Linked DNA regions of Alligator mississippiensis. The protein of the gene in region 1 purifies or fractionates together with the protein of each later gene. This does not show direct contact. Links are inferred from orthologs where the notes say so. Each region holds a gene or a part of one and is shown in the gene's direction. Other genes may lie near its edges.

Evidence for each region.
Region 2: the proteins of TMEM192 (region 1) and ACP2 purify together in Homo sapiens (affinity purification with mass spectrometry; 3 studies listed by BioGRID and IntAct, with this or other methods). This does not show direct contact. The link is inferred for Alligator mississippiensis from reciprocal best matches to the Homo sapiens genes TMEM192 and ACP2.
Region 3: the proteins of TMEM192 (region 1) and LAMP1 purify together in Homo sapiens (affinity purification with mass spectrometry; 3 studies listed by BioGRID and IntAct, with this or other methods). This does not show direct contact. The link is inferred for Alligator mississippiensis from reciprocal best matches to the Homo sapiens genes TMEM192 and LAMP1.
Region 4: the proteins of TMEM192 (region 1) and LAMP2 purify together in Homo sapiens (affinity purification with western blotting; 5 studies listed by BioGRID and IntAct, with this or other methods). This does not show direct contact. The link is inferred for Alligator mississippiensis from reciprocal best matches to the Homo sapiens genes TMEM192 and LAMP2.

What each region holds. Positions count from the first base shown.
Region 1 is NC_081825.1:86,738,360-86,746,086, forward strand, and holds the start of TMEM192 (transmembrane protein 192), read left to right. Parts: upstream 1-4,718; 5' UTR 4,719-4,772; coding exon 4,773-4,817; intron 4,818-7,727.
Region 2 is NC_081825.1:227,906,009-227,913,378, reverse strand, and holds the start of ACP2 (lysosomal acid phosphatase), read left to right. Parts: upstream 1-4,350; 5' UTR 4,351-4,374; coding exon 4,375-4,500; intron 4,501-4,614; coding exon 4,615-4,710; intron 4,711-4,858; coding exon 4,859-4,945; intron 4,946-7,370.
Region 3 is NC_081824.1:351,784,395-351,791,598, reverse strand, and holds the start of LAMP1 (lysosome-associated membrane glycoprotein 1), read left to right. Parts: upstream 1-4,196; 5' UTR 4,197-4,275; coding exon 4,276-4,327; intron 4,328-7,204. UniProt on the Homo sapiens protein: Lysosomal membrane glycoprotein which plays an important role in lysosome biogenesis, lysosomal pH regulation, autophagy and cholesterol homeostasis.
Region 4 is NC_081831.1:72,415,676-72,422,892, forward strand, and holds the start of LAMP2 (lysosome-associated membrane glycoprotein 2), read left to right. Parts: upstream 1-4,206; 5' UTR 4,207-4,278; coding exon 4,279-4,357; intron 4,358-7,217. UniProt on the Homo sapiens protein: Lysosomal membrane glycoprotein which plays an important role in lysosome biogenesis, lysosomal pH regulation and autophagy.

The sequences.
Region 1 (7,727 bases):
TTTATGCATCAAATTATAAATAAATCAGGGCCAACCCAAGACAGTGCCTGGACATAGAGATATTTTTAAGTATAGAAGATTGAATTTTAGGGATTGTTACATGTTTTATCTACTAATCTCATATCATGCTTGATCTAATCTCCTATAGAACATTTCATAATAGCCTACATAACATGAATTTTCTATTTCATAAATGAAGAAATATACAAGATGTAATTTGAAAAAATTCCAACAATGTGCACTAGCAGATTAAAGATTAAACTCAAATTCAAAATGTAGGGAAAAAATCATTTTGTCACAAAATTCCATTAAGTGGCATAGAAAAAATGGCAAGTACCTAGCTATTACTGTCTTAGTATTTTTTTTTTAATTTGCTACTGACAGAATTTACCATAAAAGGTTTATGGGTATATTGTCATCTGAAAGCATTGAAAAAACAGGCATGTAAATACTAACGTTTTGAAATCAGAATATACTCAGTAGAAAGTACCTTTTACTGAAACAGGCAACAAGAACTAGTGTTTCTGTTAATACAAGTGTAATTGCAATAAATATTGGAGTTATATAAAACCTGTGTAACCAGGTTTTCAGTCTCTTTTGTTTATAATTTTTAGGATAACTGTGATAAATCACTTCATCTTTCTGATTGGATCTCATCTTTCTTTGCTGGTATCAGCTTAGTTGTCATCTATGCAAAATTCAGAATCTAGACCCAGGGCTGTTGACCTGTGAGTTCGGGGCTATTTCCTAAGAAAGGTCCATAATAAAAAACAAGAAAATTACCCAGAGTAGGATCCATTTCCTGTCCACTCCAGCACTCTGATTCAGTAAACCTGTAGAAGTGAAATCAATAATGGAAAGCTATTGGCAAAAAAATGGAAAAGGTACCTCAATTACTGTTTTTGTTAGTAACAGATGATGATACATAGTGACAAAATACTATGGTGATATAAAACTTTTATATTTTTTATTTATATATTACCTGCCTATACATATAATTAATGTCCATAAAGCTATGCTTTATTTCTCATCTTTCTTTTACTAAGATCGTTTAAATAAATCTCACAACAGCGCTTATCAAGTACACATTATTCCCATTGTATGGATGGATAAACGAAGGCAGAGAAATAACATGATTTAAGAGTAAAATGATACAAGTAAATTAGTGACATATCAAGTACAAGTGAAGTAAATACAAGTAAATTAGTGACATAGTGACAAACAGTATCCAACTGTCTTAATTTCCAATGTGCTGCTCTAACCACTGGGCAACAACATTTGTTTATACATTTCTTTTGTAAAAACACAGGGCTTACTTTGATGTTATCAGAGCAGGATTGAAAAGGTAAGAAGCCAAACCTAATGAATAAAGATAATAACTCTGGATATCATCTTACAGTTCCTTAATACACTTGGACTTGACTGACAATATCACTAAGACCTCTTTACAGTTCTTTGGCAGCAAGATAATACAGTCTCTTGACTACTTGGGGTACCTGACCCCTAGAAATAGTGGCCAGGAAAAGCTGTCTTCTAGAGAGAAGGAACGTGCGTGGCTGAACATTTTTGACAAAACTGAGTAACACTGAACTGTTTCAGTTCAGCACTGTTGTGGGATTTCACAGCAGCTTAGTACTGTTGTAGGTTTGAGTTGAACGTCAATGAGACTGATAAGTTTAACCTATGTCCTTTATTTAAGATAGCTCTAATAGTTAAGTGTATGCATCCACTCAAAACAAAACCTCTTCAGGAATTTACAACCTCTGGGTGAAGGGCTTTGGTTAAGTATTGTTCTCAGAAGTGTGTGCATGTGTGCATGCACATATGTAGGTGAGAAAACAAACATGACAGAGAAACTGAGGCCAGAAAGCCTGAAATGAGACTTTCCAAGTTTATGCTTGTAATGAGGATGGCAGAAACAAAAGCTACCCCAACAGGAAGAGCTTTATTCAGCTGCTTCTCTCTGGCCCCAGTCCCCAGAGCCCTGTTGCTAATGTGGCCAACATGAGCAAGGTACTCAAAAGCATGGATCAGTGCAACCCCAAGAATCTGGTCATTTAGGTGGAGACCCCAGCAAGGAAGAAAGCATACAGCCTGAAGGCCAAGCTGGTTGTGCTCAAACTGTATCAGATCAGTCTTGCTTTTTTTCCTAAACCAGTCATAGCTTACATCACGGGTGAACAAAATACAGCCCAGGGGCCAGATCTGGCCCACCAGGCCATTCTATCTGGCCTGCAGAAGCCCTAAAAAAATTAGAAAATTAATATTTATTTGATCCTGGCTGCCTGTCAAAGATGACAGGAGCTAGGGGCAGTAGTACTCAGGGGAAGCCAGTGGCAGGACCCACCAGCAAGGCCCGCCCAGCCCCAGCCCCCCAACCAGAAGACCCTACCTAGCAGAGGCTTCTGGCCTGGGACCATGGGGCTGTTCCTGCTTCCCTGCACCGCAGAGGGAAATGTGGCCCTTGACAGCTTGCCAAAACTCAGTAAGTGGCCCTCCACCCGAAATAATTGCCCGCCTCTGGCTTACATCCTGCTCAAAGTCTTGTTCAGCCTTCCATGCATGAACTTCATCCTCTGCAAATGTCTGATCAATCTGGTTATCAAGAAGGGGGGTCAATCCTCTATCTGGAGAAGTTATTGGAGACCAGCCACTTCAGGCCTTCTGGCAAGCCTTTGGGACTCCGTATGGCATCAGATTTGAATGCTTCACAGTAGGATATTAATCTACCATGCTGGGAATGATCACATATTAACCAAATGGACAACAACACCTTTCAGACAACAATGTGGACCAGAAAACAAGACTGAGCAGAAACCCCCTGGGGCAAAATCTTAATTTGCAATCAGGACAATATCCAACTCCAAAACGTAATAAAGGTGAATTTCCATAGTATCTTTGGTAGTTTAAGAGTAATGTTGTAGTGGTAATGGTCCAGAAATTATGCAAGAAGCAAGGATTTCTTAGGATGATATCTTTTATCTAACTATAGAGCTGAGACAATGTGAGGCAAGCTTTTGAATGTAAGAATTTCTTCCTTGGGTCTCACAGAGTCCCCAGCATCAGGTTGTGACCTGCTTGTTGCTCTCATGAAAAACCTGCTGTATTCTTTTAAATATCACTATACCTTGGGAGCAGGAGTGATTTTGGAGAGAAAACCTTGCGTGACCCCGGGGTAAGCCCAGCAAGTGGGGGTTTGGGACAGGGCGCTGGCTGAAAGAGCTGTGGGGTCATAAGGAAGCGAACAGTCTCTGCTCACCAGCTTGCTCTGGTGTTCAAGAAAACAGAACTTTGTACGTCCCTGGAAAGAGACAGGATTGCAGCAAAGATATGCCTTGGGTGCAGCCCCACTTGTTCCTCCACACAGGAATTTTTTTTTAATTCAAATTTTCTATATTCCAAGTCGAATTAGCCAAAACAAATTCCAAATCTGAGTCAGTCCAGAACCACAAGTGGCCCTACTACAGGCAAACATCCTCCACCCCCATCTGAGGCTTCAGATGTTTCCAAAACCTTTGGTGGGCATCCTACTTGCAGGCCCAAGCCTGGAGGTTTGGATGCCCCCCAGTTTTGCTTGCTCCCAGCTGTATGGCCCCAAGGAGCAAGCTAGGGAGGAGTCTCCCATTTCCATAAAGTGGGCATAAGCCCAGGTTAACTATGCATTACCTATGCGCATTAGTGATGCATAGGGGGTGCATGCGGGTGCACATGCACCCTGAGATTGGTGCATGGCCACCTACAGGAGCTCCCCGCTTGGCCTGCCTCCACTGCTGACACTGCTGCGGCTGCCCACTTGCCGCCGCCATGCCCCTGCTGCAGACACTGCCCCGAGGGCAGTTGCCATATCCCACCAGCCTCCAGATGCACGCAGCATTTATGCCTATGCGGGGACTACCCCATGCCAGCAGAGTGGTCTTCCCTGGGTGCAACTAGGAAACCACCGCAGTGATCATGGTATTTCCTCTTGCCAGGCAAGCATAGGACTACACTTGATCTGGGCCCACAAAAATAGGAATAATCCTCAAGTCCTTGAGTCTGGGCAATTTCACAGCACCTGCTGGCTCCTTGGACTCGTTGGAGGGCCAGCTGGCCAGCGTGCTCTGCTCCACGCCCCCCATGGGTGCACTCTGAACTTCACTCTCGTGCTTTGGCGACACACAGTGCACGCGCACCCCCTAAGCGTGGCGGTGCACCCCCTGCAAAAAAGGTGCCGCTAACATTGCCGGGCTGCCTGCTGCAGATCGTCACTTGCCACCCCAGCACCACTGGCGGCGTCTGCGGGCGGCCACTGCCTGGTCACCGCTGGCCACTGCCGATGCTGCCGGTGGCGTCTGGGGGCGCTCGCCACCCCCCGCCCCATCGCCAACAGCGCCGTGGCGCCTGCGGGGGCTTGCTGTCCCCCAGCCCCCGGCGTCCCTGCTTTGGATTCCATTTGCCCCACTCACTCACTCACGTGCCCCGAGCGCCCCCACTCTGATTACGGGGGAATTGCATAGCTGGAGGCTCACGTTGCGCCCTGGCACATGGCAGGCCTGGCCCGGGCACGCTCCCACCAGTGCCCAGCTCTGGGAGCGCCCCTCAGGGGTTGTCCCAAGCAGCAACGATCCCCGGCGAGCCTCCCGGGGCCGTGACCCGCCACCCCTGCAGGAGCGGGGGCCGGGCGCGGGGCGGCGCTGTGCGGGAGCGGGGGGCGGGGCCGGGCCCGCCCCGCGCGGGGAGGCGGCGCAGCCCAAGAGCGCGCGCCGAGCGGGGGGGCGCCTCGGGCGGCGCTGATGGCGGCGGCGGGAGCGGGGCGGCAGCGGCAGGAGCTGGACAACGTAAGCGCGAGGGGAGCTGCTGCGATGTCGCGGTCGCGCCCTGCTTGCTGCCCCCGTGCCTTGCAGGGCCGGGGGCAGCCGCCGGGCCAGGGCAGGGCCGGGCCGGGCCGGGCCGGCGCCTCCCACAGCTGCGCATCACGTGGGGGCTGCGGGACCCGCTGCTTTGGGCCCCCCAGAAGGGGAGGGAGGCGCGGGGGAGAGCGCAGGGCAGGTGCATTTCTCCCACCGCGGGCTCTTCCTGTCTGGGGTTAGGCCAGTCCGGGCGTGGAAAGGCAGAGGCTTCTTCCTCCCGGTTGTTTTTGCCTGTCCGGGAAGGGAGAGGGGCTGTGGTGCTTCCCTGTCCCACCCCTGCCCAGCTAGGCCACCGGCTGTGGGGGTCTATGAGGAGGTGGCAGCTTGAGGGGGGCAGTCACCTGAAAACGCAGGGCACTGGGCTGAGGAAAGCCCTTCCAGCGCCCTGTCCCCAAGGCTGCTTGGGTCCTGTCGGGCTCGCAGGAAACTGGCTTTGCTGTTGCAGGTGCTGGCAGGTTCTCGGTGCAGAAATGCCAGCGTCCGGCTGCAGGACGGCAACACGGCTAGGTGCTGGGCATGTGTGCGCTGGGCTATCTGTGAGAGGTCAAGAAAGGGAGGTTTGCACGCTCTCCCAAGTATGGCTGCCAAGGTTGTTTGCAAGCATGGTTGGAAGCTGCCAGCCTGATGCTCCCTTCTCTCCCACACCTTGATCTGGAAAGGAGATCTGAGCAGAAGAGTACAAACTTTCTGCTCCACATAACAGCTAGTCCTATTAGTGACAAAGCAAGCTGTGACTCGCTGTGATTTGAGCAAGCTGGTTTTTGGCCTGGACTACACTATACATGCGTTGACCTAATTAGAACATCTTGATGTTGGCTTCTGATTTAAATTGGAGCCAATGCCTCATGTCAGGCACTTTAATATTAGCTGTGTTTTTCTTCCAGCTGTCATGGGCATCATCGTATGAAGAAAATCTTTGGGAGACATTAAGTCTTGTAAATTGTTGGCTTCTTCCATGTGAAGATGAGTTGCAATTAAGTGTTGCAAAATGCTTCCCTCAAGGAAACTCTAGTATGGTAAAACCTGTTTTGATAAAGTACAAGAATAAATTGGATAACCATTGTATTGTACAAGCCATGCCCATAACATGAAGGGCACCTATTGACTACTGCTGAAAGGATCAAAAAACTCACCAGATAGCCTGTGGGGTTACATAGGGGATACAGACCTTTTTTTAAGGTTGCTTTTGAATGCTTGCTCTGCAAAATTTGTATTGCATCTCATAGCTGGAAGTGGCAAGTGAAAAGACAAATATTTAGTGTTTTGACTTTTGAGTGGTTTTTGGAGCGCACTTAATACTACCCTCCTTTCTCCTAAAGGAAAGGCAGTCTTTGCAGAGTTCTTGTAGCTGTTGAGAACTACAACAAGAAGGTTACCTATAAAAGAGGCATTCTGATGCTGTAGTTGTAATAGTTGAATCAGCTGAGAATGAAATGGGCACCTATCACTAGTGTGGCAGCTCAGCTGATGTCTTGTCTGTCTCAGTTTAGATTTTGAAGAGCATGAAAAGGAGTAGGGATCCATGCAAGACTCAAAAGGTGAGGGTGTTTGGAGAGGAGGAGCTGATATTCTCTACCACCTTGGAATTGGTATGAAGCTAGGCCTAGTCCTGCAGCTTTATGTAGACATGAAATGCCCTACTACAGCAGTCGCGAACTTTTTTGTGTTGCTGGGTGGGAATAACTCGGCTTGGGTCAGAGGCTGGCTAGCCAGCGCTAAGATCCATGTGCCTCTGCTTCCCCCTGGCACCTGGCCATGGCGCAAGCAAAGAACGCACCACTGAAAACTAAAGCCCCCAGATTCATGAGTTGGATCCAGTGGCTCCATGGGCTGGATCTGGTCTGCAGGCTGTAGGTCACAGACCCCCTAGATCAGTGGTTCCCAACCTTTTTAGACTGCAGACCAGCATACTGCAGACCAAAAGGAACTGACATAGTGTGGACCAGCAGCTGCCAGTCTGCAGTATGCCGGTAACTTCTGGACTAGCAGCCAACCCTCCTGTGGACCAGCAGGCAACCCTTTGTGGCCCAGTATTGGGCTGTAGCCCGGGGGTTGGGAACCTCTGCCCTAGGTACTATATCAAAGTCTCCAGAGATGTCCAGCAGTCTGAGAACAAAGATCTCTCCTACTTCACAAGCATCTTTGTGTTGTATTGTATTCTGAATTCTCATTGTGTAGCATCTGCAATGGTTGCTGATGTTGCATGTTATTGGAGTTCTGTGATTTGTTAAAATTATTCTGCCCTGGAATAGGAATTTGAAGAGATCATCAGGATAAGTAGCTAGCTTCTCAAGAACTGGGGTGGCCTGTCTTTATCAAGAATGATAGTCCACACTTGGACTGTTTCTATTAATGATGGGCATGTTGTTCTTCACTGGGTTCAACCAGCCAGAAGAGCAAGGATCTTGCTGTTATTTTCCTGACTTAAGGAGGGAGTGGCTTGGAGCAGTGTTTCTCAACCTGTGGTATGTGTACCCCTGGGGTACACAAGATGTGGGAGGGGAGTAAGCAGGTGCTGAATTTTGAGTTTGACCCATCCCCCTACTTGGCAGGTTGGAGGCATCTTTGCCTGTTCGGGCCGGAAGTTCCAGTGCACCGCACTCCCCAGCATCAGTGTGCCAGGGGACAGGGAGGACAGCCCTGCACAGGCTGCTTTCCCCGGGCCGTGGTCCATGAGGAAGAAGTGGGACTCAGCTTGTGGCGGCAAACCAGAAGTGCCACGGTGGGACTTCCAGTTTCACTTTTGCCATGTTGATTGGCAGGTGGTATGGAAGGTACCAAAGGTTGAGAACCACTGCCTTGGAGGAAGGTGTTGATAGTAATGGTCAGTGGGTGGCT
Region 2 (7,370 bases), about 140 Mb from region 1:
GTAAATAGCACTCATTGATTTGAAAGGGTTTCTTTGACGTGACTGCTGGACTTTTTGAAGGGTTCTTGGCTGCAGGTTTTTCTGGAGTCTTGTATGCTTTCTTAAAGAAAGCGTTCAAGGAAGTTTGGACAAATGTTCTCCAGGGATACGGGTGACACAGCAAGCTTGTTCGCTAGCATGGCATCTCATTAGATCAAGCATTGTAAAGTCAAAAATGATGTTGGAAAGTTGAAACAGGGTATCAATTTATAAACGCAAGTTAAACGTAAGTGCAAAATGGTGCAATTTGACATAATACAGGCAGTCCTCAACTTGCAGTATGTAAATTTTCCTAATTAAAAGCTTTTAAGACTTTAAAAAAAAACTGGCATGAAATTACAAGTGTGTATCTAAACGTAAAAAAAATTGCATAATGTTTTATTTGAGAAATAGCAAGTTATTAAACACTACAACTCCAAGCCTACAAATATTTAAGCACCACATTCTTAACAAAGCATGGAATTCTTACTGCCGTTAGCAGCACCACTCTAGTCCTTAACATTAAGCCAATACATAAGTGTTTGCGCAACCAGTACTCCAGATGTGGCCTCCCCAGTGCTGAACAGAAGGGAGGAATTGCTTCTTTCAGTCTCTTGGCAACACTCCTACTAATGCAGCCCGGTATGCCGTTAGCCTCCTTTGCAACAAGGATACACTGTTAGCTCATATTTCAGCTTTTTCCTCATCATCTGTCACTAGGTTGCTGTCACAGGATGGGGGCCCCAGGGATGGCCATGATACCCCTAAGGCTTTTTGACCGTGCCAATCCTGCCCAACAGCCACCCTCTCTCTCCTGTCACATCTTGTGATACTATAATAAGTTGGGAGGCTGCCCTCAAGTTTGTATCTTGGGCAGTCCTGATAGACCCCACTGAACCCTGTGGGTTTTCAGACCCCTTTTGGGTCCTGCTCCAAATGGATGCCTCTCAAGACACCCTCAGCCTTATGGGCTAGATGCATGGCTCCAAACGGAGCCTCTACTACACCCCAAGCTTTGCAGATGGCATTCATATGTTATCCCTCCAAGGCCTTAGTTTAGCTTGGCCTCCGGTCATCACTGGGGTCCCCACACCCCAAATACTACACCCACATTGGCACTAGGGTCCCCACACTGTAATGGGCCCCCAATGAGGCCTCCTCCTTCCCCAATAGCTTCAGCCTGATTCTCCAGTACTATAAAACAGCAACCAAAAATATAAGCCCCTAGACTATAACATAACACAAAAAGTTTAGGGTGTGGTCTGTCCTTTTAAAAGAGGGAAACTTCTATCCCAGCACTAAGTGCCTTGTAGGCAAGGGTACCGGGTAAGCTCCTGGAGCCCCATTAGCCCCAAATACAGCATTACTATACAATTCCTCCCTAAAGGCTCCTTCTCCTCTGACTGCTGGCAGGGAACTAACTCTCTAGTCCCAGCCCTGGGGTTTATATGTGCCCAGGGCCCTGCCTCTTCTGGTCAGCTGACCAGCTGCAGGTGCAGGCTAATTCCCTCCTTAGGCCTGCTGCTACAGTAAGCTGCATCTGTGGGGTTCCTGGCTGACTACTAGGGCCCTCTCTCTAGGCAGTTTCTGCCCTTAAAGGAGTAGGCACACCTTAGTGCCCTATAACAATTGCCTGCCCCATTTAGTAAAGGACTCACACTTTCCCTGGTCTTCTTCTTGTTGCTAACATGTCGAAACCCTTCTTGTTACCCTTCATGTCCCTTGCTAGCTGCAACTCCAGTTGTGCTTTGGCCTTCCTGATTTTATCCCTGCTTGCCCGATCAATATTCTTATACTCCTCCCCATAAACAATGTGTGCCCCTGCAGGCTGGGGGAGCCTGGCGACTGGCGCAGGTGGTGGAGGCAGGGGCAGCAGCGAGCAGGAAGCTCCTGAATTCAGCTGTGGCAGTGTCAGTGGTGGGGAGGGTGGTAAGCACCAACCGGCGGTCAGCGACCACCCACAGATGGTGCTGGCAGCATTGGTGGTGGCCAGCAGCAATCAGGGACCGCCTGCAGACGTGGCCGGTGGTATCAGTGGCAAGGGGAGGGGTGGCAAGCAGTGACTGCCCACAGGCACCACCAGCAGAGTCAGCAGCGCTTCTGTCAGGGGGTGCACCCATGTGCACCCCGTATGCATCACCAACGCTCCTCTCTAGTTGTTTGTCCAAATTTCTACTTCCTGTAAGTTTCCTTTCTGTGCTTTAGCTCACTGAAATGTTCTCTGCTAAGCCAAGCTGGTCTTCTGCCATACCTGCTAGCTTTCCTGCACATGGGGATGGTTAATTTCTGCACCCTCAGTAAGGTTTCTTTAACATACCCCAGCTCTTCTGGGCTCCTTTCCCCCTCAGACTGGCCTTGCAGGAGATCCTGTCCATCAGGTGCCTGAGTGAGTCAGTCTGCTTTTCTGAAGTCCAAGGTGTGCACTCTGCTGCTCTCCTTCCTTCCTTTCCTACTAGATCCTGAATTCAATCATCTCCTGGATGCTGCTGCCCAAGTCGCTATCCACTACTACATTCCCCACCAATTCGTCTCCATTTGTGAGAAGCAGGTGAAGCATAGTCTGGCCTCTAGTTTGCTTCTCCAACACTTGTACCAGGAAGTTGTTCCCAACACTCTCCAAAACCTTCCTGGATTGCCTGTGCACTGCTGTATTGGTCTCCCAGCAGATGTCAGGGTGATTGAAGCCACCCAGGGCCTGTGATCAGGAAACTTCCACTAGCTGTTTGAAGAATGCCTCATCCACCTCATCCTTCTGGCCTGGTGGTCTATAGCAGACACCAACTACGACATCACCCTCGTCGTTCTCCCCTCTGATCTAGCCCAGAGACTTTCAGCAGACCTATCTCCAGTTTCATACTGGAGCTCTAAACACTCATCCAGCTCTTTTACATAAAGTACAACTTCTCTTCCTCCTCTTGTCCCCTGCCTGCCCTTCCTGAACAGTTTATACCCATCCATGACAGTGCTCCAGTCATGTAAACTATCCCACAATGTCTCTGTTATTCCAATCGCATCATAGTTCTGTGACTGCGCAAGGACTTCCAATTCTTCCCGCTTGTTTCCTGGGCTGTGTGTGTCCATGTGCAGGCACCTGAGATAACTAGCCAATTGCCTCATAATTTCACAAGGTGAGAGCAGATTGATTTTGATTTTGAAATACATAAGAATTCTGTGGTGTGTGTGTGTATGTATATAAGGCCACAAGTATATGGCCTTCTTATATATGGTATATAAGGCCATATATATATGGACTTCTTTATGAGACACAAAAAGGTGATAATCACAATACTTTCCCTTTATAAATCACCTTTAATAACATATAAATCCCCTGACACAACAGGGCCTGATTTATTTGAAGCCCATAGGTAAGACTGTGATTAAAGTATTACAATTATCATTACAACATCCACACTTCCGAGCGCAACCAGAAAATATCTGCGCATATGCTCTGTAAGTCAAATCAGTTTTTCTCCCCAAAAGCAGTCTTCTGTGAAAGTACAAGACACTAACTTCCTGCCACTGGTATGAGGCATTGAGGAGGCATTACAAGGTCAAATGCTGATGTATTAGAGCTGCTTAAAAATGTCAGTATTGACTTTTCTTAGTACACTAGGAAACATTGTCTTGCTCAAACACACCTGCTCCTCTTTCCCCCCAAAAAAAGACCACAGCTATTTGTGACATGTTTTTCATTGTAAATTTTCTGTTTTTAAGAGTGTCCGTGTTGTAATGATGCTGTGTGCCTCCGTTTCCCCAACGAGCCGAAGCCAAGGAAAGGAGGGTTAATAGAGGCCCTGCTAAAGAGAGCGGCCTTCTGCAGAGACAACACGGAGGGCCAACAATAAAGGGCTTGTAGACCTGTTGGGTGCCCATCCTTTGGAGAAGGTGCTCCAGGGTCACCGAGGGAAGGAGGCGGAGGGAGGTGTGGCAACGGCAGTGTACCCGCCCTCCAGCAACCGGACAGGACGAGGCAGGGACAGGCTGCACTGGGGAACCAGGTCCGCTTCAGCCCTCGGAGCGAGCTGAGGGGGCGGGACTTCAACCCCAGTTCTCGCGCTGCTATTGGCGAGGAGTCGCCCGCTTTGAGAGCTGGCCCTGCGGGCGGAGGAGCCACGGTTCTGATTGACAGCTCGCGAGCCGGGACACCCTTCTCCAGACGACCCCTTCTCACCTCCACTTCCGGCGCGCAGCCGTTCACAGTCCCCCCACCCCTCATTCCCTCCCTTCCTGAAGCTTCCGTTCCTAGCAGCAGCTCGCACTCCCCCTTCCCGCGTGTTGCGAAATGTCCGTCCGGGCAGCCCCCGCGGCCGGCACCGCCCGAGTTCCGCGAGAGCTGCGGGCCAGCTGGGCAGCGCCATGGCGGCCGGGAAGCGGCGGGGCTGGGCGGTCTCCGCGCCGCCGCTGCTGCTGCTGCTGGGCCTGGCGCTGGGCCCGGAGCCGCCGCCGCTCGCTCAGGCCCGGAGCCTCCGCTTCGTGACCCTGGTGAGCGCCGGGCCGGGGTGCGCGGGGCTGGGGCTGGGGCTGGGGCTGGGGCCGGGGCCGGGGCGGGTGGCGGCGGCACTGACTCCCGCGGGCCCGGGCGCTGCTGTGTTGCAGGTGTACCGGCACGGCGACCGCTCCCCGGTGAAAGCCTATCCCCGCGACCCTTACCGCGAGGCCGCCTGGCCTCAGGGCTTCGGGCAGCTCACCCAGGTGCCTGCTGGGGGCGGGGCGGCAAGGGGGGATTAGGGGCCGGGGGGTGGCAGGGGGAGGCCGGGGGGGATTAGGGGCCGGGGGAGGCAGGGGGCTTGGGCCGGAGCAGCCCGGGCTGCCTGGTGACTCATTCTGGGCCTGCTGGCAGATGGGGATGCAGCAGCAGTGGGAGCTGGGCCAGGCCCTGCGGAGCCGCTACCACGGGTTCCTGAATGCCTCATACCAACGGCAGGAGGTCAGTGTCTTGTACCTCCCCAGAGGGGTCCTCACTCCCCTGCCTCCCTGCTTTGACTGCCTGGTGCTGGGCTCAGGGGTGGAACTGCCTTTCTGTGGTCCCTCGGGGTGGTCTCTGCTGCTTGTACCCAGAAACCTCTGAAGGGGCCTTTGGCAGAGCATCTCGCCTGGAAACTGCCTCCCTGATAAATCACTTCCGAGTCTGGGGCAAGTACCTTGAAAGCTGGGGAGGGGGAGGGGCAGGAGAAAAAGGAGAGGTTAAGTTTTGCCTTGGTGAAGTACTGGGCCTAGGCCATCCCTGCTTACAGACAGCAGAGATAAAACGTCCAGCAGATGTTTTGTTTCGTCAAACAAAACATCTGCTGGAATAGATTTAATTTCCCTTTCCTACAGAGCTTCCAGAGAGAGTTTAACCAAGTTAGCCTATGCATTGCTCCTTCCAGTCATTTTCCTTAAGGAGAATTGGGATGTGTCAGAGAAGGACTTTAATTGGGAAGTCCTGGGTGTCAAGCTCCAAAGGGAGTGAACTCAGAAGGGAGAAAAGGAGAAACTGTAATACAGCTTGTAGGTGGAGGAACTGTTCTTTGTTCCCTGTCCCCAGCCCATCCTGCCATGCCTGTGCAGTAGAGTGGCTATTCATGCAAGACCTTCCAGTAGCTGGATCTGTCATCTGTAGAATATCTGACCTAGGCAAATGTTGTTAGCACATGTCAGAAACCTAAGTTGCCATTGAAGTAAAGTCCTTGGGGTATAATGGATCTTACCCAGCTGGGTTACATCAAGAAAGTAGAATATGCCTGTTCTCTGATTTGTTTCCACTGTCAATTTCTGAATTGAACTAAGGAGATCTGCCTGCCCTTGGCCTTTCATGCCTCATTGCAAACATCCAGCTTAAAGGGCCAATAGGACTGAGGGGGAAAAATATAATGGACTTAAAACTCTTTGTGTTACAGATACTAGGATAAGTTCAGCCAAGGGTTAATCAGAAGCAATACCACTGTAAGAGGGTTAAAAATGCTGTGAAATTAGCCCAGGAATCAAAGTTGGAAGATAATATTTGGTACTTGTTTCCCAAAGTCCTGAACCCTGATATTAAAAAAGACAGTTTAAAATCATGGTTGATCATTCCATGGAGCAGCCTGCCCAGGAAACCAACTTAAGATAGTGCTTCTTGGAAAAGTAACATGCAGTTGCTATCATTACTAAACAAACCTCTCTCTTTATTTGCATCCATGCTCCAAACCAGTTACTTGCTTTTTCCTTTTCCTTCTCTGTAAGTTTAATATTACCAACAGAGGAGTTTTCACCCAATTTGGAAACAGCTGTTGTGAAGTGTCATTGTTCTAATATGGGGCCTTGTAAGAACTATGTACTATGGCAGCATAAAAACATATTCCAACCCTCTTTTCCAGACTGCATGGTCCCTTCCTAAATCTCTCTCCTCTAAAACTTCTCTGTTTGCTTCCTGGTTAATGCAAAGACCAACCTTCTGCAGACTTTAGTTCTCCTCTCTGCCTTGGCCTTCTCTTTTAGGAAGCACCATCTCTGGATTGCTGTCATGTGAGCACTGGTCATCTGACATAGCTACAGGACAGATCCCTGTAAAAGGGTATTGAAACAGACATATTTGTTTAAGGATTTAGTGGTTTGTTACATTGCTCTAGTCTGCTAATTCCTGCTGCTCCTTCAGGGCTTACCTAGGCATTCCTTCATCTTTCCTAAAGGAGAAGCGTTTTGCTGTAACTTTGCTGAGTCATGGCATGGTTCACCTAAAGTGAATAGAAATAGTCTAAAGACTGAATAAATTTTGCTAAATATAACAGTTTGGGGCATACAGTTTGCTTGGAGGATGCTCTGTGAAGTAAAGCAACAATGTTTCCCTTTTCACAGCATTCTTTCTGCAACTGCCCATTTTCAGTCACCATCACCAAAGCTCCCAACCCTTGGCTTCACCCCAGACTTCTCTTGTTTTCTCTATTTCTTCTCTAATGCCCTGACTACCTGATGTCATACCTGATCTCAGCCCTCTCTCTGGGGCAGGCCTATCTGTCCCTCAGGCCTGCCCCATGCACTTCTTCCCCCACTCCTACCCCGGTGTCTCTGGTAAACGGTGGTAAGGTACCAAACTCTTGAAACCTTAATCCTTCTTGAAACTGCATTTGTCCTTCTTTCCTATGGGGGGCCAAGCTTCCCCTGCCAAGCTCTGAAGTACTGAATGTTCTATGCTCTTTCCATCCCAGGAGCTGAAAAAGTTTTGATACAGGAATGTGAAGCTCATTTGGCCAGATGTAGACCATAGGGCTTCTTGTGAGCTGGATGACCCATAAGCAGTGGTGATGGATTTAATCACCACAGTTGTTGGAGCTGCTATAGTAGTGTGGCTCTGGCACCCAGGGGGCTAACATCCCTGCTGCTCACCTCCCCTC
Region 3 (7,204 bases), on another chromosome or scaffold:
GGGTAATGAAGATTGAATCCAACAGATCCTATCTTGCTTTTGGACAACAATTTTTTATCACTGTTTATGTAAAACTGCAGTAAAACCTAGTTTTGCCTTTAGAGTCGCATACAGTGTAATTACTGTACAGTGTGCTCTACACTAAAAAGAAAAAAGTTTTCTTAAAGACTTTTAGTCTTGAAGTTGTGAAAGCATAGCTTTTTGTCTTGAGAGATTAAGGATTTTGTGAGTACCTTGTTACATATTGTATATATGTAAGTTGATTTGAATTGAAGAATGAAAGACTTGTAGCTCTGTTAGATGATTGTAACTATAAGGAAGATACTTTTTGTGGTAATATTTACAAGCCTCTGTTTATTTTACAGGAGTTGCGTAATGGTGTGTTTGATTCTAATTAAAAACTACCAAAGGAGTTTTGATCATGGTATAATGAGAATTTAAACTAAGCAATATTTTCTTGAAAAGTACCTTACTAAATTTATGTAATGTAATTTTGTGCATAAATTAAAAGATCACTATCCCTTAAGAATACATTGTTAAACACAGATATCTCTTGAGTTTCTTTGTTAAAGTCCTCCTCCTCTCATCTACTATCATTCATTGTATTGCATTCTTTGAATTATTTTTGTTCCCTTTCCGCTATGGTTAGAAGATAAACCTCACATATCTTTAGTATAATAAATGTATTTAAAAGTTATTTAACATTGTAATTTAATGTAGACTTGTTTTAATATTTGAATCTTCCGTTAATTCAAATAAAACATTTTTGTTGCATATTAAATATGAATTTCTTGGCCACAATGCGACTGTGGCACTTAAATCAATTTTTCAATCTGCAGTTTAGTGTTAGTTTAAAGGCAGGTTTGCTGACTGATTGATCTATTTTCTGTTCATATCACATCCATCCAGTCCATCTGCAAAAATATTAAAAGTAAAAAGAAAGAAAGAAAAAGGTATATATAATAAGGCTAATGAAGCAGAAGATTCTTCAAATTAAAGCAATGCTTCTCAATCTTTTTGGACTTGAGACATGCCTCAGAAAATGCGTATTCTTAGCTTTCACTTGTTTTTTTTTTACTACAGAAAATAAGAGTAAATCCTTCTGTTGCAAAGAACTCAGGAAGACCACAACAGGTCAGAATGTTTTTGACACTATGGATTTCTGTTAGAAATCTCTGGGTTTGTCCTGGGAATCCTGCATACATGTTTGCACACCTAACAGAGATAATACTGTTTGTCAATGTTCAAAGGATCTTGCAACACCACAGCTGAGAATCATTAGACTAAGGAGTTGGCAGTAACAAACAGAAGTCCAGTGATACATGTTAAACAATGGTGCATATCACTACTACTTCTCCTTCCCCTCACTCATTCACTCCAACAAATGAAACTCTTAACTAGTGTTTTGATGAACAAAAACAGTAGTTTACAAAAACTGACAGTATTCTCTAGAAACATTTTCATCAGCCAGTGAATTATGTCTGCCTGAGGAAGCGATGTAATCAACAGGTAATTCTCATCTGTGTAATTAGAAAAACATACCAGTGGACTGGAATTTGTTAGTCAAGTTACTCTCACTGGTACAGTAATAAAGAAATTAAGATTTATGAATTCTACTTTTTGCTAGACTGTTTGCATGCTGAACAAATGAGTAAGCAATTTTTCAGCTACACTTTCAACCATGTCATTGGTGACCAAAACCATTGTCATTTGATCTATGATAGGAGTATCAAACTCTGGATCTGGACCTCCGGGCTCCTCCTGAGCTAGATCCAAGGGGCCAGCAGTAGCTGTGGCATGTCTGGGAGCTCTGGTGTAGTTCTATGGGCAGTGGTGGCAGAGGTCCAGGTGGTAGTAGCAGGGCCCAGCAGCAGGGTGAGCAAGAGCTGTATCTACACAGCCCTTGTTCTACCCCCAGTGCCACTGATGCCTAGTGACCCCAAATTCTGTGGAGGCCACAACCTCTACCCCTGCCCCCCAAATGCTAGTAGCCCAGTGAGCTGGATGGAACATATATATATGTTGCATATATATATTTGCAACCCACTTGTGTTTAAAAACCCTGGTCTATGTAAAATGAGTTACATTTGTAACAGTTGGGACAATTACATCATCTCAATCACTTTGCAATTTGGTACCGGGGAATTTAGTTAATGGATGTCCTGAGCGTCTTAAGACTTAAGAATCTGAGTGGAGCCAAGGCACTGCCCCATCTTAAGAGTCTGTAGCTGCCATCATAGATGCTGATCCATGCCCTAGCATTGACAACACCTGAGAGCTGAAGCCTACCTATACTTAGTTCTAGTACTGACTTCAGTTGCTAGAGCTCAGGCAAAAGGCAGGGTAGATTTGCACCTTTATAGACTCATAGTATAAGCTTTGGTAAGCAGAGGACTTGCAAGCTTCATCAGATGCAGTGAAGGGACTCGCTAGGGCTGAAGCATTGCCTTTCTGAGAGCCACAGCAAAGGTTATGAGCTTTCTAGTTTGCAATCTGTTTCCAGAGCAGGCATGGCAGATAGACTTTACACAGAGTTTCTGAGCATGCCATTGTTTTTTATATGAAAGACCAAGCATGAGAAAATGCAAGTGAAACACAAAATTGCTGAATGCAATACCCTGCAATCTAGCTCAGCCCCTTCCTCAGGGTCTGACTGTAGGCAGGCAGCTAGCTTGTGCCTTGTCTTTGACCTTGGCCAGTCTTGTAGCTGAATGCTGCTGCCTCCCCATGCCTGTCCTTAACCCCTGCTGTGCAAAAGCCAGTCTCTATTAAGTGTCCAAAATTCAGCTCCCTGCAGAAATGTATAGCCAGTTTATAGTCTTATGAGTATTTCCCTTATGTTGACCAGGTAGACCTTTTCCATAATGTTCATGAGTTGATCCACACATTCTTCTCCTTTTCTCACTTATTCCCTACTCCCAGCCACTGGCTTTGGACAGATGCTAAACCCAGTGGTTCTCGGCCTTTTTAGACTCAAGGCCTAGCTCAGAGAAACCCAGCTCCTAGTTTTCCCTTGTTTGTTTGATTTTTGTATGGGGTTTTTTACTATGGAAAAATAAGAATTTGTCTGCTGCAGACAACTCAATCCCAGCAGGACAGAACCTTCTTAATGCAATGGGTTCCTTTGTGAAACCTGTGCAAACCTGAGCCACAGGATGAACCCACATGTAGCAGTGCTAGGATGGGGGAGAAGGGCCGCTCCACAACACCTTTGAATGGATCTCAGCAACCTGGGATGCTGCAGCACCCGGGTCGATCATTGCACTATGCCCTTAGCATCAGGTAACAAGCAACAAGTGGTGACATGGCCCAAAAGAGCCCTACAAGTAAAGTCCAAAATTCTCCATAGCGACTTGATCTAGTCACCTGGGCAGGCACCGCGGAGAACATCACACTGAACACAGGTCATGGCAGGCTGCAGACCCAGGCAGTGGCTCCCCAGCCACTGCCTTGCAAACATCATCAGGGATCCTAGATTTCTCTGATAAAAGTTACCATTTTTTAGATATAAAAAATAACTCAACATCCACATTTTTCCATAATTGAAATTAAATGCCACTAATAAATAAGTATATACATATATATTCCAGTGGTATTTCATTATAATCATGGAAAAATGTGCATGTTGGGTTACTTTTTTATATCCGAAAAATGGGAATTTTTTTTTTTTAATCGGAGAAAACGAGGATCCCGGCTCATTGCGCTAACAAGGTACCATGACTTCCTTCCCTGCTCTGTGACGCCACAAAGTTGCCGAGCGCGTTGCCATGTTTCCCGATGTCGAAGGCCGCGCGCTCCCCCCTCCGCCGGCCGTGACGCACAGGGGGCGGGGCCACCCCGAACCGGAGGGTCTGTCCTCCCCTTCAGTCCCACCTGAGAAGGAGGGAGGGGGAGGCGGGGTTAAAGGCTCCCAAGGGCAGCTCTGATTGGTCGCTCGAACCCTGCGGCGGCCAATGAGAGGCGGCATGTGCGCACGCTCAGGAGCGATGGGAGCGCTGGTGCTACCGGCTTTGGGGTACCTCGCTCGGGGAGCTCTAACCCGTCTTCCCAAGGTTTGCGTTAATCCCTAGTGCGGGGCTACTGTGAGAAACAGCGCCACTCTCGCGCTATTGCCTCCTTAATGGTCCCCCCTTCCAATAAGAAGGGGGCGGGTCACGTGACGATGGCGCGGAGCGGTGACGTCAGCGATCATATGACCGGCCCGGCTTCCAGAGGCGGGGGGTGGGTGGGCTTTCTGTTCTGCTCGACTGCTTCCTGCGCTCTGTTCCCTGCGTCATGGCCCGGCCCCGCGCTCCCGTGCTCCTGGCCGCTGCTGCCGCGCTGCTCGGTAAGAGGCGGGTTCTCCCCACTCCCGGCCGGGGGGGCCTTGCTGGGGGTTCCATGCCCGCGCCCGGGAGCCAATGGGGGTGCGAGGGGAGGGGCCGTTGGGCTGGGGGAGGCTCCCCCCGCGCTCCAGCCGCCCCCCACGAAGGGCCGGTTTTATTAGCCCGTGCCCCGCTGGCCGGATCTGGGGCTGCGAAGCGGGGCGTGCTGAAGGGGAGACCTCGTCCCACAGAGCAGCAGCTCTCAGCCTTTTATGTACCAGGACCCACTTGTAAACATCCGTGGCCAGTCCCGACCCAGTGCCCCTCACCCCCCCCCCACCCCCAGGCAACGGTCCCCAAGCACCGCCTGGCAGGCTGGAGCTCTGCCAGCTGACAAGGGAAAACCCACAGTTTCTTCCCTCCTTTAAAGGGGAATCTGGTCTTAAAGCTTGTTCCCCACCCTTCCGTATATGTATATTTGCAACCCACTTGTGAGTCGTGACCCATGGCTTGAGAAACGCTGCCACAGCGCAATTTTCTCCTTTGGGGGAGAAATAAGCAGCTTTGCTCACTCACTCATTTAGGAGCCAAGCCAAAAACTAGGAGTGTTGCTTGCTTGGAAGGAGGTAAAAGCTGCCTGCGAGGCAGGGAGGGGGGAGCTGCTGTTCCCAGGAGCAGGGCACGGCCAGCTGGTAAAAGAAAGGCTGGGCCAGGATCAGCGTCCATGAGGGAGGGCACCTAGGGGCTAAGACAGGGCAGTGCCTCTGCTCTGCTCAAATTCTGCTGTCTGAAAATGCCCCGGGCACCCACAGCTAAATTCCCTTGTAGCCAATGGCAGAGCGACTGAGACGGTGTAATTGCCCAGACTGTCGCAGACCTACCTCGCTTCTCAAAAATCAGGGGTTTCCAGCGTATGGGCTCAGAGCTGTTCCATCCAGCTCGCCGGGCTACCACGTTTCAGGCCTGGGCTGGAGGGGTGAAACGTGAAGGCCGTTAAAAAGGAGAAAGAGGCCTTCACACCCATGGATTGAAGAGCTTAAAAGGAAGCAGGTAGATTATTAATGAGCAGGGATCCTGGCTTTCTCTGATTTAAAAGAAAAATCCCCAATTTTCAGGTAAAAAAAAGTAACCCCAAATCCACATTTTTCTGTGATTAAAATGAAATGGCATTATCTCTATCTATTTATAGATATCTATAGATTAGTGTTGTTTCATTTTAATCTTGGAGAAATGTGGATTTGGGGTTACTTTTCTTTAATCTGAAGACTGGGGAGTTTTTTTTTTAATCAGAGAAAACCAGGATCCCTGTTAATGAGCCATGAAGTCAGGTGGTTTCCTCAGCGCTGCCTGACTAGAAATGTTGCTGTGGGGCAGTTGGTTTTAAACTTGGGATGGAGCTGAAATCAGAGGGGAGTACAAGTGCACCTCCGAATACCCCTGCTAACAGACTGCTGGGTTTGATTCTCATCTGAGGGTTTTGTGCTGCATCAAATCCAAACCTTGCAGACAGCCCAGCTCCATGCTCTAAGTATCTGTGAATGGTTCAACTGGACTCGCACTATGTACTTGTGACTTATTCAAGTTAACATTTTTCCTTGTCTGTTTTTAGCCTAAATTACTGTTCCCTGGTCTGTTTGGAGGCTAGATAATCACCTAGCCGGGGTCATTTGACCCCAGCATTCTTTCCTGCCCATGGCAGGGGGTCAGACTTGATGATCTGCTCAGGTCCCTTCCGACCCTACGAACTATGAATCGAAACCCAGGAAAATCAGTTTCCAGGCAAACAAAGTCCGTTTTTAGCCTTAGAGGTGCACCCTACACACAGGCCACATCTACACGAGTGGTGGACTGTGCAGTTGTCACTGTGCATTTAGTACTCGCATAATCAAGTACTAAATGACTGCGCAGTAACCAGCATTACTACGCAGTCGCATGCCCACGTTTCTTTTTTTCTGACACTACTGCACAGTAGTATTGCATCACAGTTAGTGCCTCCCCATGCTACTGCACAGTAGCAATGAGCAGCCACAGTTCACCAAATCCCACCCTGAGATTTCAACTAGGAATCCACCAGTGCCTGAGCTGTTCTGACTGGTTGTGGTCTTTCCGAGTTTTTTGCCACAAGAATTGTTGTGTTGGTTTTCTGTAGTCAAAAGTAGAGTGAAAGTGAAGAGTTGGTATTTTATGAGGGGGGGCCTTGAATCTAAAAAGATTGAAAATGCTGCTGTAGCTCTCCAAGCTGGGGCTTCTGTGCAGGTGCTGGTACAACACACACCTGGCTTGAACTGTGCCAGCCTGGTGGCAAACTGTCCTGGAGATGTGGCTGCTGAGTGTTTTGAGGTGTGCCTGGGTGAGCTCAGTGTCTGTTAAGATCTGCTTCATGGGAGGTGTATAGGGCTTGTATCAGCTTCTTTAGGCATCTTTCACTTTTAAAGCCTGCAAGCTGTTATGGTTGCAGAAGACCTACCAGTATGATCTGATTTTGGTGGTGTCATTGGGAGTGTGTAGGTGGCTTCCTCAGCACTAGCAAAGTTACAGTTCTTGTTTTCACTTTATCTTTCTGGAGTCCCATGGTGCCTAGTAGGCAGTAATTTTAACATTAATGAAAGGATTTTTTTCACACAACATGTAATTAAAAGTGTGGAGGTCATTGCCACAAGATTTTATGGGAGCTGATTGTTTAGCCAGATTCAAAAGAGGGATTAGACAAATTCTTGAAGGAAAGGTGCATCACTAGCTATTGAGCTAGTGAGAATTAGGGGCACAGCTTCTGAGTCAGCACTTCCTAGACTAAATGCTGGAGCCTGCGAGTGAGAGGAATGGTAGCAGGGAAAAACCTGGTCATCTCCTATTCACTCTCCCTTTCAGCATCTGCTCTCTGCCACCATGTGACACAGGAA
Region 4 (7,217 bases), on another chromosome or scaffold:
AATATCAATAAGTAATTAATTAAAATGCCGCTTTCACCCTTGCATTTCACAGTTCCCAAACTCTACTAAGCTGTCAGTTGCTCTTGCAAAACTTGTAAGCTTTCACTGCTGACGGCCTCTGTAAATAGTTTGGTGTCATTTGCACATGGCACAGAAGTCTCAGCCTGGAACCATTTAACCCCGACTGGCTGAGTACTAGCCACATTACAACATGCTGTCTCCAGACAAGGCTTCTTTGGAAACTGGTGGCAAAAAGCACAATGGCTTATAAATGCAGGGAGGCTAGTGCCACAGGAAAACCTGATAAGGTGTTGCTGTTGCTGCTGGAAGAGTCTAGCAAGTATTAAATCAAGTTGCACTGATTTAGCTCCCGGTGATGAAATACTCCCTTCTTCACCCCACCCTTCTTCCCCTCTCATCAGCTGACAAAAGGTTTCCTCAGCTGTTTGGGAACATCATGTTGCAAAGTTCCTTAGCAGGAAGTTTTGCTTGTTCTGCCTCTTTTGCAACCTGATCTACCTGCCCTTTAAGTTAAAAGAAGAAACTTCTGCTTTTTTTTCTTCCATGATGAAAATGCTTCACGTGACTGCCAGAGTCTTGACTCAGCACTTTCACTAAGCAGTCGAATGTAATTGTTTGGTTTCCCGTCACCGCTTCTTCCAGAAGTCTGCCTTTCAGGAACACCAGTTCGCTGCTGTCAGCAATCCTCCATCCCGCACGTTACTCATTTGGGATGGCAAGAGATTGTTTTACAGACTCCGGAAGAGCAGCCACAAGCTACCGAGATCCATTCCTGTTCTAATCCGAACTGGCTGATGCTTTCACAGCCAACAGGATCCTATTAACAGTGACGCCCTGCTGGACAGGCCGCGATTCTCCTTAAGCAGCTGTCCAAATCCTTACTCCAGTGCACAGACCAGCTAACAAGATCACGGTGTAGGGGGAGACGGGGCTAGTGGGGGACACACTCCTGTTACGTGGATCCGTAATGCCCAAGTGTGTCCCCTGTATGGGGTAGACTCCTGTCCCATGCTCCCAAATTTTTACTGCCTCCTAGAGCAGGATTGCACTGGTTCTTGCCATGGCATGAGCTGTGAAAGGCAGGCCATAATATTCCCTAAAAGGAGGTTTTACTAAAGAAAATGTCTGCAGATATGAACAAACAGACTAAATATAACAAGGGCCTGTCAGGTATGTATCTCCTCCCCTTCTGTATTTGGCAATTTGTATGTTACAAGACCAAAGACTGGAAATATGCGCCTGCTATTGTGAATGTTTGGGCAAAAACACCAAAACCTCCAGATCCATCACGATATTCCCTACTCTGACCCAGAACATCTTTAAATCTCAGCGTGCAAAAATAATCAGAATGCAAGACCTATTTGTCTGCCTACCTCTAATTACCAAAGGGTGGGGCCCTGATTTATCCAGAGATTTAACCATACACCTACCTTTTGAAGCATGTGATTTCACTGGAGGTCAACAGGACTGCTTGTGTACTTAAAGTTAGGCATGCTTAATCCCCTGGCTGATCTGAAGCCCAGATAGGAATCTTGCCACAGAGATCTGTAAAGCACTCCACTCCCCCTTTTCTTAACACTACCAATATCAAACTCAGTCTAGCATGAAGTAAAAATGGCAATGCACCACAGAAATACCCCATTCCTTCAGTTCAGTTCATGCACTCACAGTGGGGAATAACTCATTAAACTTCATTCATCCTCTAGTTCAAATCTCTCCCTAGGTGATGTGTTGTTTTAATACATTGCACCACAGATCATTCTGTTCCACCATTAATTGCTATCAGCCACATATGCTTGATTCTGAAATGCTAGAGGCAACTGGAACCAGTACCACAGCAATATATAGATATATATAGATCTATATCTATATTATGGCTATATCTATAATCTCCAGATATACAGAGAATATAGATATATATATATCAGAGATTGGTTCCTTAGAAGTTCCTGAGTACACCAGACCTATTCCCTTTACAGGGACTTGAGGAAGTTCAGCACCTTTCAAGATAAATTGTGTAAATGGGTGGCAACCAAAAAAATTCTTGCCATAAAGAATTAGACAGATTTTGGTACAGAAGGGAAGGTTTATTTTGTCCCTTTATTTTTTAAAGCTCATTATAGAACTAAGAGGAGAGGCAAGGCTTTAGGACAGTGGTTCTCAACCTGTTTAAACTTGCAGCGTCTCTGGATAGACTCAAGGCACCACGTGGAAAGTGCCAGCTCTTAGTTTTCACCCTTTTTTTCGCCTATGGAAAATAAATAGAGCATGTTTTTTTCTGTCCAGAAACAGGGATTTCTATTTGAAGTCTCTGGGTTTCTCCTGTGAATCATGGTTGTAAACCTAACAGTGTTAACATTTGATGGGGCCCCATGGCACTCTTGAAAGAAGTCAAGGCACTCCAGAGTGCTACAGCACCCTGGTTTAGGAACTACTGGTATGACTATAATCACTGCTTCAGGAACTACAGTACTGGAAAACCTGTCACGCAGACTACGCACCTGCTTGCTAACTGTGCTATTTCTTTTGGCCCAGACTAACTAGAGGTGTTGAACTGGAAGAAAATTGCCAGCATGGAGTTATCAACTGGTTCTCCTTTACACAACTCACTGCAACATTTAAGGTAGCTGAAGGATGAGTACCCTGAAAACTGGAGCCAAATTCAGCCCTGAATTACGTCAATGTAACTCCGTTGACTTCAGCTGTATTCGAACCCACTTCCAGGAGAGCAGGACCCATCCTTATGCTTCCACAAGCCAGCCTGCAGAGGCCCAGCACTGTAATGGGGAGCTGGGACCTAGAAAGTGATGCCTAATCCTGCCAGCGTGGCATGTGTGAAATGGCCACCAAGAAAACTCAAGCGAGTCCTCTGCTTGAAGGGCCAGCAGGATCAGGCTAACTGTTGGGCTGCTCTTTAAAACAGTACAGCAGTACAAGCAATCAGCAAACATAACAATTAATATTACAGATATAATTTGATAGTCGTTATTAATACTAGAGCATTACTCAACAGCCCTTAGGCCCAAACAAACAAAACCGTGGGATGGTCTTTAAGTAGCACCATCACCATTGTTCTCCCTTTCTGAACCTGCCCATCAGCTCCCTTCATTGCATCGCATTCAAGCCGCTTGTCATCCCCTTCAGGAACCTCCATGGTTCAAAATCGTCCAGTCCTTTCTCTCCCCGCGCTCCGACTCCATTCAACTCAGGCAGCTTCCTCTCCGCACGGCCTAGCACAACAGGCACACGGAGACCCCAGGAAAAATAGGCTCTCAGTTTGCAGATCCAGGGCCCAGCAGCTCCACGCTGATCTGCAGCAGCAGTTCCTGGGGAAGCCCAACATCAACTCGACAAGCTTTGGGCTGGAGCCTACACTGCCAGCGCGGGGAAGGCGGGAGCCAAGGCTCATCATGCGTAGGAGCTGCGAGGGGCGGGCGAATGGCCAGGTGCCCGGCGGGAACGGCACGGCAGCCTGGTCAGGGCGCTGAGCGAGGACGACGGGCGCTTTGGGGAGCCGGGTCTGTGCTGAGCACGTGCCTGTTGCGCGCATCAACCTGGGTGGACCTTGGCAAAACAGCCAAACCCCCAAGGCAGGTCATTGGAATGGAAAGCTGCAGGCCAGGCGATTAAAGGCAAGTGAGGTTATGAAGCAGGGATCCTGGTTTTCTCGGATAAAAAAAAATCCCTGATTTTCAGGTTTAAACAAGTAGCCCCAAACCCACATTTCCCATGATCAAAATGAAACCCCACTATACATACATATATACATACAGACACACACATTATTAGTGGTATGTAATTTTAAATCACGGAAAAATGTGCATTTGGGGTTACTTTTTTTTTTTTTTTACTCAAAACACGGGGATTTCTTTTTAATCGAAGAAAACCAGGATCCCTAGTTATGAGCAAGGGGGTAGGGAACTTTCTAACAGAAAGTTATAATGCTTCCACTTCCAACAGGACCCCCTTAACAGTGGCCTGCGGCCCGGTATTATGGGCAGTGCCCCGGGAAAGCCTCGCCCGCCCGCCCGCCAGCGCTCCTGGACTCGAGTCCGATTCCTGCGCCCGCCCGCGCCGCTACGCGGTGGGCAGCGCCTAGGACCCATGGAACCCCCCGGCGGGCGGGACCGCCCCTGCGATTGGCTACGCGGGCAGCGCCCCGCCCCCTCATATGACCGGCCTCTGCACTCTTGCTGCGCCCGCCCGTTTGCTTGCCTCCGTCTCGGGGATTCCACCGCCGCCGACGCCTACCGGAGCATGGAGCCGCGCTGGTCCCGCTGCGGGCCTCTCCGCCTGCCTCGCCACTCCCTCCTGCTCCTCCTGTTCTGCGGCGCCGGTGAGTGGCAGCGGCCGCGGCTCCGCGGGGCCTGCGCGGGCCTGCGCTTGCCCGCTGCTTCGCCTCAGAGCGGACCTGGGCCTGGCCCCGGGCCTTGAGGGGGGACGGATGGGGGCCGCGAGGGGTCAGAAGGGCTCGGACGGGGGCGCGCGAGGGGCCCGTGACGCGGCGGCACGTGACTCGGCCGCTTAGCGAGGGGGGGCGGTGCGCACGGCACCTGTCCGGGCTCCCTCTGCCCCAGGCCCGAGACGCGTCCCCGGCTCCCGTGTGCAGGCGCCCGTTGCATGTATGGCGCTGCGAATGCTCGCGCCATAAATGTAAAGCAGCCCCGCGTGCAGTTAGACCATTGCAAGTGCAAAGTAATCACGAGAATTGTTGTTTTGCCCCTGCGTGAAAACCCAAAGGCTCCTGCTACACGTCGCGTTCATGGCGCGCCTGCCCCACCCATCGCGTCATGTGTAGACTGGCCCTGTGCGCAAAGCAGTTCCCGCGCGTGTCGTCGTTGCAGCCCCGGGGGAAAAAACCATAAGGCCCCCTGGGCTCTGCGTTGCGCAGATGGGTCAGTCGTGCCATACATGTAGACTGGGCCACAATGCAAAGCAACGATCACCTAATTAACCAGCGGGTCATACAGTACATTTAGACTGGTTGCATGTGCAAAGTAGTTATTGCATGCTAAAAATGACTATCCAGCTATAAAAGAGCCAACCAGCTACAAAGTTAGTGCTTGAAAAGGCTAACGTTTCTGCAGCCGTGTTTCGCTTGAGCTTGTAGTGGGGCCCTAATGCATCAATACAGAACGGGCCATCGTTGGCAGTGGTGTGACCTGAGGAGGTTTCGGGGCCTGTGGTTGAGTCAACAGCATGATGATGTTGCAAAAAAACAAGCAAATGTGGTTTGGGGTTTAGAAAGGGAGTCTTTGTTTAGCGCTTCCCAAACCTTGCCACCTGTTCTGGCCTAAATCCAGTTAAGCCTCCACTAACTTTCTTAAAAAGTTAAAAACGGGAGGGTCCAAAGGCAAGCATGGAGGATAAAGAAAGGGGCTGGGGACGCATGCTGGAGGCAGGAAGGCTGAAAGAACTAAGCGTATTTCTAGTTTAGAGGAAAGGAGATTACGGAGGGTCATGAGAGTACTCTTTAAGTAAAGGCTGCTACAGAGAACACGAAGTGTGGCCAGGAGGAACACAATGCAATGTGTGCATCTAAATTCGCCCATCTCGATCTTAGGAAAACTATCTTCACTGCAGCAGTAAGATAATGCAACACATGGGCTAGACAAATCATGGGCTCACCTTCGTTGAAGGTTTTCTAGAGGCAGGGGGGAAAGGAAGGTTAAGCTAGATAACCTTGAGATCGTGTCCCAGCCCATTCCTCCCTCCTGCTGACACTTCTCTCAATTGCATTAGTAAATTGAGTTGACAAAAGTGACCTTGTGACAAGAACAAAGACCTGAGTAACTTTTGTTCAAGATAAAGAGAATTAATAGGGATGCCATGATTAACCATTATTTGTAGATTTGAGTGTTGTGGTGTAATAGGATTAGGGTTGAAGGACTGCATTGGTTCCAAAAGACTCGGGCTTAACCAGTGTCTGTCGATGTGCGGAGTGGCTCGGATGCGTGGTAACTACTCAATTAATCAAGGCTGCTGAAGTGTGCTAATTGGCACACTCCAGCAGCCTCCTCATCTTGTCTATCAGCATCCCCCGTTCAACAACCTTTAAGCTAAAGCTCCCCCATCACCATTTTGTATCAGCATCCCCACACTTTGTAAGATGCTGCAGGCATTCTAATTAGAGTGTCTCTCCCAGCTGCTTTAATTAAAATGCCTGCCCCCCCCTTCCCCAGACTGTGAAAACACCCAAGGTAACTCTCGCTTGTGTGGTGGAAATGGAGAGCAAACCACAAGTGCTGTTTAGCTTGAACACAGAAACTAGTTTTAGAATTAAATCCTTCCTACAGGTGCTTCTGGTTTTCAGTTTAGTTGCATAAAGTTATGCAGATCTACATTGCACTTGACCTGGTCACCAGTATCTTGAGCCTTGCCCCTATGGAGTGCAGCATGCCTTAGTGTAATATGCCTTCATGTAAATGGTGGCGGAGCAGGAAAGATGTTCCCTCCCAAAAAAAATAGTTTTACTTGTTTGAACGTACAAGGAAGTTTCTTTGTTCCTTCCTCTTGTTCTGGAAGTAGCCGGGCTCCCAGTGTCTGATAACCCTGTGTATTCTAGGATATCCGTGGATATTGAGCTACTAAACTTCAAGAGTACACTTGTCCAGTACCTCTAAGCTGATTTCAAAATAAAGTGCTTGTGGTTTTATGTTTTGTCAAGTTGCATATTCCTGTGGATGCATGTGCACTATCCATTCTCTGTATTTTTTGGAAAATAGCCTAAACCAAGGGCCTGCAGCAAAGGAACTGCTCTGCTTTCTTCAGATGATTGTAGACAGGGAAGTTGGAGTACGAGTTCCAAGAGACTAGTCAGCTGTATTTCCCACCCCCACCACCCTAAATGTGTGGAGGTCATGGATTTGAAACAAAAGAATCTTTTGTTTCAATCTTAGTCCAAGACTGAACATGACTTCATTCAGGCAGGACCTTAAATGCAACTTACTTATGTAAAGTGCCATATACTTTTTAAACCACCACCTTTCCCTCTTGCACCAGTCTCTTAACTACTTCTAGCATCTTGCTGCAAGAAATGGAACTATCAAAGGGTTCTGCTTCTTTACAGAGAGAAGGAAGTAGTGATCATATCTTCAGCAAGTGAATTCAAGTGCTCCCTTCCAGCAACAGAAGCTGCTATGTGCCTGACAGTATGCAAGCAAGAATTATAGCTAAACTTCTGATGGGAGACAGTA